Linked DNA regions of Yarrowia lipolytica. The protein of the gene in region 2 interacts with the protein of the main gene of each other region in a biochemical or structural test. Links are inferred from orthologs where the notes say so. Each region holds a gene or a part of one and is shown on either strand. Other genes may lie near its edges. The genes, in order: YALI1_F06830g, YALI1_C11271g and YALI1_B16944g.

Region 1 (3,444 bases), on a different chromosome or scaffold from region 2:
CCCACGAAAAGATACACCAACTCTGACGAGGAAAGCTCGAAGGTCCCCTGGAAGCCTACAAATCGGTCTTGACTTATCAGGATGCGATAGGATACCCTGTCGAAGTGTCATGCTCGGTTTCACACTGACCTGGAGACGACACGCAACTAACCATGTAGCCAAGTCACCAGATTATGACCAATAAAGCCGGCAGAAAGTGATGCCATGGATGATTGATAGGGACTTGAAACTGGCCGATGAGAAATGGGACGGTGTTTGAAAGTGTTGTTGTCGATGTGACGCTGACTACTTGGACCCCAACGGAATCGGTTCCGTCTTCCACCAGCATGTACCGGTGACGAGTGCGGTTTATCTTGGATATAGCCAGTTTTACACCGTGAGCCGTCCCTACAAGTACCTTACAGTACCGTACTCCAATCAATGTATAACTTACTTATATATCCATCCAAAATACAGACCTTTATGAATCAATAGTCTGGCCAACGGAAGGACTCATCCTACACGCGACAGGCGGTCCATAACAGGTGGTCACAACAGGTAGACCGTAATAGATGGCCCACAACAGGTGCGGCTCGCACTGTCCCACTACTTTGTGGGGTCATTTTCCTTCAAATGATCCAAGACAGGACCCAGCAGTCTCTGAAATCCATCCTTACCAAGAGTAGCGACCTTGAGCTTGGTCTTGGCAGTCACGGTGGCCTGTCGAGGCAGATCGTTCAACAGAGCTACCTCTCCAAAGTAGTCACCCTGCTTAAGAGTAGCCACCACGCCAGACTCGCCCTTCTTAGTCACCTCAGCCTCTCCGCTCTCCACGAGGTAAAAGGCGTCTCCAGCCTCTCCCTCGGTGATGACGGCAGTTCCGGGCTCAACCACCTGGGACGTGAGAGCGTCGGCAAGCTTGTTTCGCTCGTACGAACCCAGATCGCTGAGAATGGGTACCTCCTTGAGAAAGCCGTCGTACATGGACCGTCGCTGATGGGTGCCATCTAGCAGAATCTTTCGGAAAGTGACTCGGTCCAGCGACCACAGTACACAGGGCTGAGTGGCCACCACGGTGGCTGCTCGGGGAGCGTTGTACATGAGGGCGAGCTCTCCAAACGAAGAGCCGGGTCCGGAAGAGTTCACCTTGACGCCATCCTTGATGAACTCGACAGCGCCGCTCTCCACAATGTAAAAGTAGTCTCCTTCGTCGCCCTGGGTGATGATCTTTTCGCCGCTGTCGCACTTCTTTTCTTGCAACGACTGCAGAACGGACCGGCATGCTTCCTCGTCAAGATTGCCAAACAGAAAGTTGTGGCTCACAGACTTGTAGAGAGACTCAAGCTGCTCGGCAGAGAGGTTGTTGGAGGCGACGCCGGAGGCAGCACCGGCAAAGGCACCGGGAGCAATGGACTCGGCAGAAACAGAGGTTCGACGAGTGAAGGGCGCAGCAGGCTCACTAGAGGCAGAGCCGGGGCCCTCTGATGACGTGTCGGCAAACGAGGACCGGAACAATGAGCCGTCTGTGCTTCTGGAAGAGGAGCCGAAGCCAGGCTCTCGGAATCCGCCGCCCAGGGGCTTGGAACGGGGTCCGTCGTCGTCAGCCTCTTCTCGTTTGGCCAGCCGTTCGTTGAAATAGTCCGCGCAGAACCGCAGAATGTCGGTCGGCTGTTTGGTGGTAACTTCGCGGTTGAGAAGGTTGAGTTCGTCCACGTAAGCGGGGGGTAGGGTCACTGGGTTAGAAAGAATGCGAAAAGAGCGACGAGGCTGCGAAATGACCATCAACCTCTTTGCCATGAGATAAACGTCTAGATAAGAATAGCTTGGCTCAGGTCACTGAGGCAAAGAATCCTAGGGCCAGAGTCAATGAGTCACGCTCAGACAATACCAGAAATTCTGGGGAGTGGGAAGAGAGCTATCTGACGGTGTAATAGACCAAGCCATTAATAATGTCATGAGTGATGGCCGCCACAGACCGTGAAGTCACATGACAGAGACAGAGAGCCGTGAACCTCGAAATAGTAGCATTTCCAGCCAGATAACAGATGAACAAGCTGAAAACTGCTCTTTCAGCAGAACCTACGAACCTGCTCATAAGCTGTCCACGACTACCACCACTCTTCACACAACCACACTCCGTCTGGTCATTACCACACATTCGACCTGGCTGGGGTCATGTGACTATAGCCTAGTCACATGACTTGTGTCTGGTCACATGACCCCAAACAGCTGCCTCATTGGCACGAAACACCACCTTTTCTCCCCCACAATGTCGCCACCACGTCGAAATGTCGAAATGAGCGCAAATCGTGACAGGGGTCGGGGAAAACGAGCAATGTTTCGCGCCGAATGAGCACGTGATTCCCTCCCACAGACCCACTCATAACCTCACGTGCCCTCCATCATGTCGCTCATAACCTCCAAGAACACCCCGGTCATACTCACTGTTGTGCGTTGTGGTGATAGTGTTGTTCAAACCATGGGGTGAATTACGTACATACATACATGCGGAGCAACCCTAACCCTGGACCTGAGAGAGGGGGGTTAGGGGGGCCGGTCTGGGGGTAGCGGCCCAGAACGGGAATGAACAGGGTTAGGGTATTTGTGAGGGCAGTGATATATGTCACGTGATGGAGCGTGGATTTCGCGGTTTCTGCGAGGCTTTTGGGTCACTTTTGGGTCATTTGGAGCGATCTGTTGTTTCGGATGGAGCATTTTACCGTAGACTGGACAGACGGTTGCAGCATTTCAGCGATAGGGGATCTAGGAGAACCTCGATTAGGTCAATTGGGGAGTGAATGGTGTTAGAATGATCCTTGTCTCCGGTGGATTTGATTGATAGTTTCAGAATTTCGATGGGAGTAGCGGAAGTGCAAAATCACATTTTTGGTTTTTTTCTTAGTATATGTATATATATTTTAATTAATCTCATCACTGTATGCACTCTTAGTTAATCCACTCAAGTGGGGGATAAGAGGATGGATAATTGACGATGGACATAGTTTGGAGAGCGAGTGTCGAAGTTGTGTCGTATTAATATCCTCTCGGTTTAATCGATTTTTCATCATTTAATTTAATTTAATTTAATTTAATTTAATTTTAATTTAATTTAATTTATATTATATATTTTTTATATTTTATAATTTTATATTTTTATATTTTCCTTTTTGTGCTTCTCTCAGAAACTTCATATCGCGGGGACGTTCTCAGACATAGTGAAAGACAGTGTGGTCTAGGGTGCAGTGCTAATAAGGAGGAATCCAGAAAGACGAATAATGGTCAGATTCGAGTGTAAAAGGTATGGATGAAATCCCCGTAACAAGAGGATTATATCGGTCCAGTTTTTATTGCAACTCGAAACCTCCACAGCTGAGAAAACCCGATATAGCCCCAATACTTGTAGTCAACACCTGCTCATACTACACTGTGTGTCTCCATCACATGACCACAATCCCAACTACGACA
Region 2 (3,568 bases):
ATCTCCAGGAGTGGCCGGTGAGATTCTCGATACGCTTATATACACAGATGTGTCCCCACAGAGTAAGGAACCAGAGAATGGAGCGTGAACCGACGATGAAAACCCTGGTTGGATCCTTCTATGAGGACAGAACCACGTCCGACAAGTGGAGATCTCCTCCCCAGAAGGTTGCAGACACTGGATCCTTACACATGCGGTCCCGTATCCATTACAACAACGGTTGCTTCAACAGACTGTCACAGACTACACCATGGAGTCGTGTCACAGATCCCGCCCATCATCAATGTGTTCGGAATCGGTCTCAAGGGACGAACAGTTGCAATTGACTCACAATACTCCCCCAATTGAATCTATCCAACATCTATTTCCAACAACCGCAATCAGACCCAAACACTCCCCCCCCTCTCCCTAATACTTCTATACATACATTCCTTACATAACCTTTGCTCCAGCTGTTGAGACTGACCAGTCACGGCTTCGTGTTCCATACAGTTCCTGGAAGACAGTCATCGAGTTAACAACAACTGGTGGGACCCACTGCGACAAACAGTCGATCAACAGTAAACCTGCATTCTTCAGATTCAATCTCCCGTTCGTCGGCTGTTGGTCGTCTAGAAATCGCCAAACAACTTTCCATACGGGTCCGGACATACAATTCCATAGTCCAGCTCCTCCTCCGGGTAACTGTCAAACAACGACGTGTCGCCCACTCCACTCTGAATGGGAGGCTCATACGGAGTCTCGATATCCTTGGACAACAACTTCTCCCAAATGACCTCGGAGAACCACGGGTGGTTCTTCACGTCCTGTGGGCCGCCCTGCAGGTTACCATATCGTCGGGTGAGGTCCTTGGTGATGAGTTTGGTCAGCAAATCAGTCACATCCGGATGCAGGTACGAAGGGTACCGCACATGACCCATGAGAATGTTCTCATACGTCTTCATGGGCGTGTGGTCGTAGAAGGGCGTGTAGCCGGTGAGCATTTCATAAATGAGGATTCCGAGCGACCACCAGTCCACAGACTTGTTGTACGCCTTTGTGGTGACCACCTCGGGCGCAATGTAATCTGGCGTGCCACACAGCGTCCAGGTCACGTCGCGGACCTCTTTGGCGAACCCAAAGTCCGTGATTTTGATGTGACCGTTCTTGTCTAGCAAAATGTTTTCGGGCTTGAGGTCTCGGTAGATGATGTTGTGGGAGTGCAGGTACTCGAGGGCGAGGGTGACTTCTGCCGCATAAAACTTGGCCACGGGGTTGGGGAACCGCTGGCTCTTTCGCAGCAGCGAGAACAGCTCGCCTCCCTCCACGTAGTCCATCACCATGAACAGGTTTTTGGAGTCCTGGAACGTCCCCCACATTCTGATCAGAAATGGGTGCTCCACCAGCTTGAGCATCCGCCGCTCGTCGTTGGTGTGCTCCACCTGCTTCATCTTCACAATCTGCGCCTTTTTCAGCACCTTGATGGCGTAGTACCGGTTGTTGTGCACCGACCGAACCAGATGCACCCGGCCGAACGAACCCGTTCCAAGCGTTCGCTGGATGGAGAAGTCCGTCAACGAGTACTTGCCCTTGGAAACCGTGCTTCTGTTAGGTAGAGATGCCATAGGTGGTGTGTAGAAAAGTCCTTTGTGTAAACTGTCGCGTATCGTCCAAGAGGCGGTGTCACGTTCGTCTCTCAAATTCAAATGTCAAAAAAATCGGTCTGTAGCTGTTGCAATGCCCGTCACTAAAACAATATCGTCACCGTGCTAACGTATCGTGCGCTGGCGTGTCCCACTGCTGCAGAGGTTAATTCCAAGGGTTAGGGTATTTTGAGGGGGAACAGGCCAGCAAGACCCAGCCGCCGCTGGAGATCGACACATGCCAGAAATCAACCCGGACTTGGCCGGCTTACATACCAAACAGTCACGTGACGACATCCGAGCGCTGCCCCTGTCTCTCTGTCTCTTGTGAGGCTCGCTGCAGCGGCGCTAATGAGGCATTACCCTCCATCTCACAGCCGAAACCTTAATATATGTCGATGCTTATGTAAGCGGAATCAAGAAAGAAAAAACATAATGATGGCTGATGACTAATGGACGGGAGCGTATTTGGTATCATAGAGTTGATGGCGATCGGGTGGTCTCAATAATGGGTTTGAAATTTCGGTGGCTTCAGTATTTGTCGAGTTAGGGTATCTTTTTGTATTTTAATCGACATTTGTTGGTGCAATTGATTTACAAGTTGCGGCATGGTTTTTTTGGAGTAGTTAGGAGTTTGGAAGTACGTTTTTCTCTCCAATTATGTCTGAATTGCGCTCTCCAACCGCTGTCGTTATCTCGCATGAATGAGATTATGAGAAACATTAAACTTCCGCTTATCTAAGCGACATGCAGCCAGGAGGGGAATAGACGGTCCAAAACGGGGTTTGGAGCTGCCAGTTCAAGGCAAGGGGTATGCAGGGTTGATTTGGTTGGCTCATTATAATGGCGGGACTCGGCTGGTATGACGAACCTGACTTTTGAGTCCAAGAAAATCGAGAAATTTGCGGAAACTGAGTAATTTGGATGAGGAAAGAGATTGTAGTTACACGAAAGATATAGAAATGGACTCTCTGAGGTGTGGGAATTGTTCTTGAAAAAAACAGTCTTCGATTTGGCCTATAATTGACCAAGCTAGTCGAAAGCGGAGACAACGCACTACCCCTGTAGCCACTGGTAGTTGTCTCGGGGGTTTGAGAGGGGGCTAGAGATGAAAAAGGAAGTTGACGGGAGTCTTAGACCAGGTCAAGAGAGTACTGGCACCACTCACGACGCTCTAGTTAGTCTGGGAGGGTGGTTAAGTACGTCTTTAGTGGGACTCTTAGAATGAACATAGAATGGTGCGATCAAGACCTACAAAGACAAGGGCATAATAAGAAGAAAGAGATTGATTCGGGGAAACAATTTAATACCATCATATGATGTTCACTGTCTTTGTAGCCAACGTAGCATCTTAGCATCTCGTTTAGGGAATCTGCCCACCATGTAACTTCACCAAATGGAGCAGACGCGAATCTAGGAACATGAGAACCATGTGAGACGCGCTAGTTCTAGGTCTAATTGCTGCCTATTCCGGTTACCGTCGCATTGTTCACAGCTTCTCATGTTTCCACCCTCGGTTGTTAGTGCAACTTTAGCTGAGGTAGGGTAAGTTTATTGGATGCAAGATAGATGTGAGCTGTGTAGTTCCCTCTGGTTCCACGTTCATAAAAGTAGGTCATGTATGGTACCAAAAGGATCAGCAGAGTCTCAGGAGTCCAACGGTACATGTTACTAAGAGTTTGGTGTCATGTACATAGCTCTACGGCTACCGAAGGTGCATATGAGAGATATTTAAACTGGACAAATCTCTCTTCTGGGTATTGTACTTGTACTGCTAACTGCATTTAATCCGCTTCATGCAAATATGAAAACTTTTCTTCCATTATGTGTCGTATTTCTACAAGTGCATCTGATTAGAGTTGATGCAATGATTATCAATTTGATCGCCGAACTTTCTTCGGAAGGCAGAGGGGATCTTCCGAGACGAAATGGTTCGTGTATGGTAT
Region 3 (4,013 bases), on a different chromosome or scaffold from region 2:
GATGTTAAATCAAATATTGTCATTGCTCAATGATTGTTTTAAAGCCGATAGAATTGTCTTATAGACCGCCTTCCACTCTTCTGTCTCACGTTATCTCCCCTCAAGGTACCATATACATACGACCCCACTTCAAGCAGGCACCACAAATTGAGACAAGACATTCTGCAGACCCTGCAGTGCATTAATTACGGCGGCTAGAGTGTAGATCCTTGGCGACGTAGTAGGCCCCTGATTGCCAGGTTGCTACTTATCCGGTATTGAGGATATATGACGAGGCAGAATCCTTTTGGTTACATAGCTCAACTGGATACTGTCTGCTAATAGAAAGGTCTAAGTAGCTACAATAAACATTAAACTCATCTACAGTAGCTGTATCGTCGTACATTGTAGCTACTCATACTGTATTGTAATGTGTTAATACTGTATAATTGGATAATGTATCGTGCCTTCAGATACCATCTCATACACGCAATTGGCTTATTTCCACTGCTAGTGTCTGTCTACAACCCTCTCTACAACTCTCGACGCTATGCATATAAATATCTATTCGTTGGTTGTGGAAAAGTTGCTCTTGGTGGCAGACTTTTTCAAACGCTTTTACCTGACTCTTGCTTCCTACTTGCTCTCCTGCTCCCTGGAGCGCTTCTCTTCCGCCTCTTGGCTCTCCAGCATACTTAGACGCATAGCCTCTGAGAGCATGATCTGCTCCAACTCCTGAGCACGGGCAGCCTGCCGTTGTTCGTGGTTTTGGCGGGTTCGTCGCGATGATCTAGATGATCCAGCCACCTCCCCATTGCCTCCTTCCACAAAAGCCGTGGCATGAAGAGCGTTGGCAGTAGCAGCCTTTCGTGCAGCTCTAGCTCGAGCAGCAGCCAGCGTCTTTGACCAGTCGGGTCGCACACGATCAACGGTCACGACGTTGGGGTTGGTGACACTGATGGACGATCGACGCTTTGCACCGGACATGTGCATTAGCTTGTCAGCCACATCGTCCATGTTGGTGGTGTCAATGCCGTCTGATGAGTCTCCCGAATCATCAATAGCAGACTCGTCACCGTTCCCTTTGGCTGCAGCGGCATCAGCACTGTTGGCTCCTGCAGCCTTGGCTCCGGGGCCGTGTCGAGGCGAATACACTACTCCAAAGTCGGACATAGCACAGTAGGGACAGGCTGTGGGCTCGGAGATGAGATCCAGCTGTCCCAGCAACGTGTCAGGTTCAGGCTCGTCATGTCGAGGATGAGGTTCAGCTCGCTTCATTTGCACAAAACACTCGGAGCAAATGGGCTGGGCACAGCATCGGGTCATGTTGAGCGAGTTTGGGTAGTACAGAAAACAAATGGGACACTCGATGGGGTCTCTGTAGATTTTGACCATAAGCGGGGGCTCTTTGTTGGTGAGCGTTTTGGCCCGTTGTCGTGAGGGTGGTGGCTTGGGAGCCTCCCTGCTTGGTGGGGACTGTAGAATGCCTGGGTTTATGAGTTCGTCCCCGTCCTCCTGATCGGGTTCTCCGGAACGCATCCACGACGGTGTTGGGGCGCTCTGGGAAAACGTGGTGTTGTCCAGATCGATTCTCAGATGCGACATATGCTCCAACGGGTCTCTGAACGGGTTGTTCGATGACAAAGTGTGTCGGGGAGGCGAGATGGCCACCTGAGGAGGAGCTGTAGGTGGCGACAGATGTGAAGGTGTGGAAATTGCGTGAGGGGTTGAGGTGGAAGCTGAAGCGTCTTTTGTGTCTGTAGATTCGGTTGTAGGCGATTCTGATGCTGCACTGGGGATAGGAAAGCCCCTAATGGCAGCCATAAGTTGATGATCAGTCCATTCCTCCTCATAGTCCTGTAGACCCTTGAAAAACGGTGCAAGCTTGCGACTAGTCATCAGGCTCTTGACAACAAGAATGTCGAAATCCTGTGGTCCGGTGTAGACTCCCTGAGGCACCAGATAGCCACCATCCACTTGTTCATTGGGGTCTACAAAGACTCTTGGCTCCCGCTTTTTTTCTCGAGGCGCAGAGGGCCTCTTGGATCTGACCTGGCCTTCGCGGTGGTAGTCCTCAGAAACGGACCGTGCGTTGCGCACCTGCTGTTCTTTTCCCGGAACGTTTCCCATGGTAGAGTGACTGTGTAGACGAGTCTTGAGAGTCCGATATTTAGTCTGGTGTGTAGGTTTGGTTGCGCGCTTATCTTGGGTTAGGGTCACGTGCGGGGTGGGGGTGTAGCGAGTCTTGGAGGCTGTTTTGGACGTGATAGTAACCAGACTAAAAGGTATTTGCGATGTGGTTTGCCTGTAAATATATATTTTTTTGTCATCAACAGACCTCTACCGGTAGTTGTATTCGTTTCTACACTCATGTTACCAATCATACTATGCATTTGACATGTGTTGTCATGTTGGCGGAGCAAGTTATTGGGTGCAAACGTTGTGAGTGTCTGTCTCTGTGTGATATCTGTGTATCTACCAAAAGAAAAAAAGTTATATATAATGGGTGTTTCCTGTAGCAGTGTTCTGTATATTGTACCAACATTCTAAGTATGTTATGTTCTCGTACTTCTGTTGAGGTGCTACAGTACATAGCTCAGTCCTCGACGAAACGGCTCCCCCCTCCATTGCCTTGACTCTCCCAATGCCTCGCTCTCTCATAGTCTATTTCGAATGGACAAAAACGGCTACTGGTGCAAGGACAACGGCGGTTGCAAAGGTGTCAAACCACATGGAAGGGCTCTAAAAGGAAAAGCCCCATAAATTGCGCTAGCCGAAAAAGCCGCGGCTCGCAAGCTGGTGCACTGTCGGAATATCGGCCACACATATGCCCGTGACCGCAGATAGTCCCGATAACACCGATAACACCGATAACAATGATAACCTGCTGCATAACATCGGTAGGCAGGCGACCCTGGTCGCCGAGGCTAACTTTTGCCAGGACACTGACACCGGTTTTTCATGTGAAGTGGGGGAGGGGTATGAGCATATGTTGCCTGCGCAGTTATCGTGAACAAGTGGCTGAGCACGGATGGGCCGTGGTTGTAGTTCCCTTACTCAAGTGAGCATACCTGTACACACATTATTTCTCCTCTCACCCCAATCATATTTAGGACTAGCTAATATGGCTCAGTAAGTAATGTCGCATTGGACGTCTGTGAGGCTTCCACACTCATTTTGGTGAGTCTGTTATGTGTCGCAAACTCCCCTTTATGATTGCTTTGCTGTAAAGCCGTTCTTTGCTCGCCGTTGTCACTGAAACATGTTTCACTTGGGTTGCCGTGTAGAGACAACAGGCAATAAATGTGTGTACTTAAGACCCCCAAGTATAATTATGAGCATTACAAAGCACAGTCTTTTGATAGTTGGTATATTTAGCTGGCATAATTACATTCTGTGAGCTGTTTATCAACTATTGTAGCCATACTTTCGACTGAGAGTACTGATACTTGTACAGTACATCCCCCCTAAACCTCCGACTACTCCCGACAGGCACCTACTGGAATACTTAGCCTACTGCCTCTTGGTTATGTGTGATTGGTAATGCATGCTATAAATATGTTAGTGTGACGACTCCAGTTCGTCTAATGCTTCTCCTCGTCCTGTCCGTCTTCTCCACACCTGTCAAAAAAATGATCAGTAGACTCTTCTTAGAGAGAAGAAGCGCTCTCGAGGCGGGCTGTACTTGGTGGGGACTCCTGTTGACACTCCGATTCGAAACTTCTGAATCTCCTCCCATTGCTGTCGGGTGTTCATTCTCCAGAACTGCCACGAAGCGTCTGTGCCATTCAGAGACTTCAGCACCATTTGCACTAGTCCGTTTTGTGCCTTGTAGTCGCTCAGATCGTATACGGCGCTATCGATAACAACCACAAGCTTGTTCTTGTTGTTAGCCAGTTCAGCCACGGTCTCTGCGCTCATGTAATCGTCGTCGAGATCGGAAACAGAAGTGGCACACGTCTCTGGCATAGAACATACCGAAGAGCGTTCCGTTTCAGAATCAGAGAGAGAGATCTCAGATACCTCTTCAGCAA

What was found.
Region 1: the proteins of YALI1_C11271g (region 2) and YALI1_F06830g form a complex in vitro, tested with the Saccharomyces cerevisiae proteins (3 studies listed by BioGRID, with this or other methods). The link is inferred for Yarrowia lipolytica from reciprocal best matches to the Saccharomyces cerevisiae genes TPK2 and BCY1.
Region 3: the proteins of YALI1_C11271g (region 2) and YALI1_B16944g form a complex in vitro, tested with the Saccharomyces cerevisiae proteins (2 studies listed by BioGRID, with this or other methods). The link is inferred for Yarrowia lipolytica from reciprocal best matches to the Saccharomyces cerevisiae genes TPK2 and SIP5.

The regions. Positions count from the first base shown.
Region 1 is NC_090775.1:681,262-684,705, forward strand, and holds YALI1_F06830g (uncharacterized protein), read right to left. Parts: upstream 1,777-3,444; coding exon 586-1,776; downstream 1-585. UniProt on the Saccharomyces cerevisiae protein: Regulatory subunit of the cyclic AMP-dependent protein kinase (PKA), an effector of the Ras/cAMP pathway. Inhibits PKA activity in the absence of cAMP. cAMP activates PKA and promotes growth and proliferation in response to good nutrient conditions.
Region 2 is NC_090772.1:1,125,201-1,128,768, reverse strand, and holds YALI1_C11271g (uncharacterized protein), read right to left. Parts: upstream 1,605-3,568; coding exon 612-1,604; downstream 1-611.
Region 3 is NC_090771.1:1,692,510-1,696,522, reverse strand, and holds YALI1_B16944g (uncharacterized protein), read right to left. Parts: upstream 2,110-4,013; coding exon 616-2,109; downstream 1-615. Other genes in the region: YALI1_B16922g (uncharacterized protein), read right to left, coding at 3,616-4,013. UniProt on the Saccharomyces cerevisiae protein: May negatively regulate the SNF1 kinase by promoting the interaction of the REG1/GLC7 phosphatase complex with the kinase. Deletion of SIP5 promotes resistance to artemisinin, which is probably an indirect effect of an action on the electron transport chain.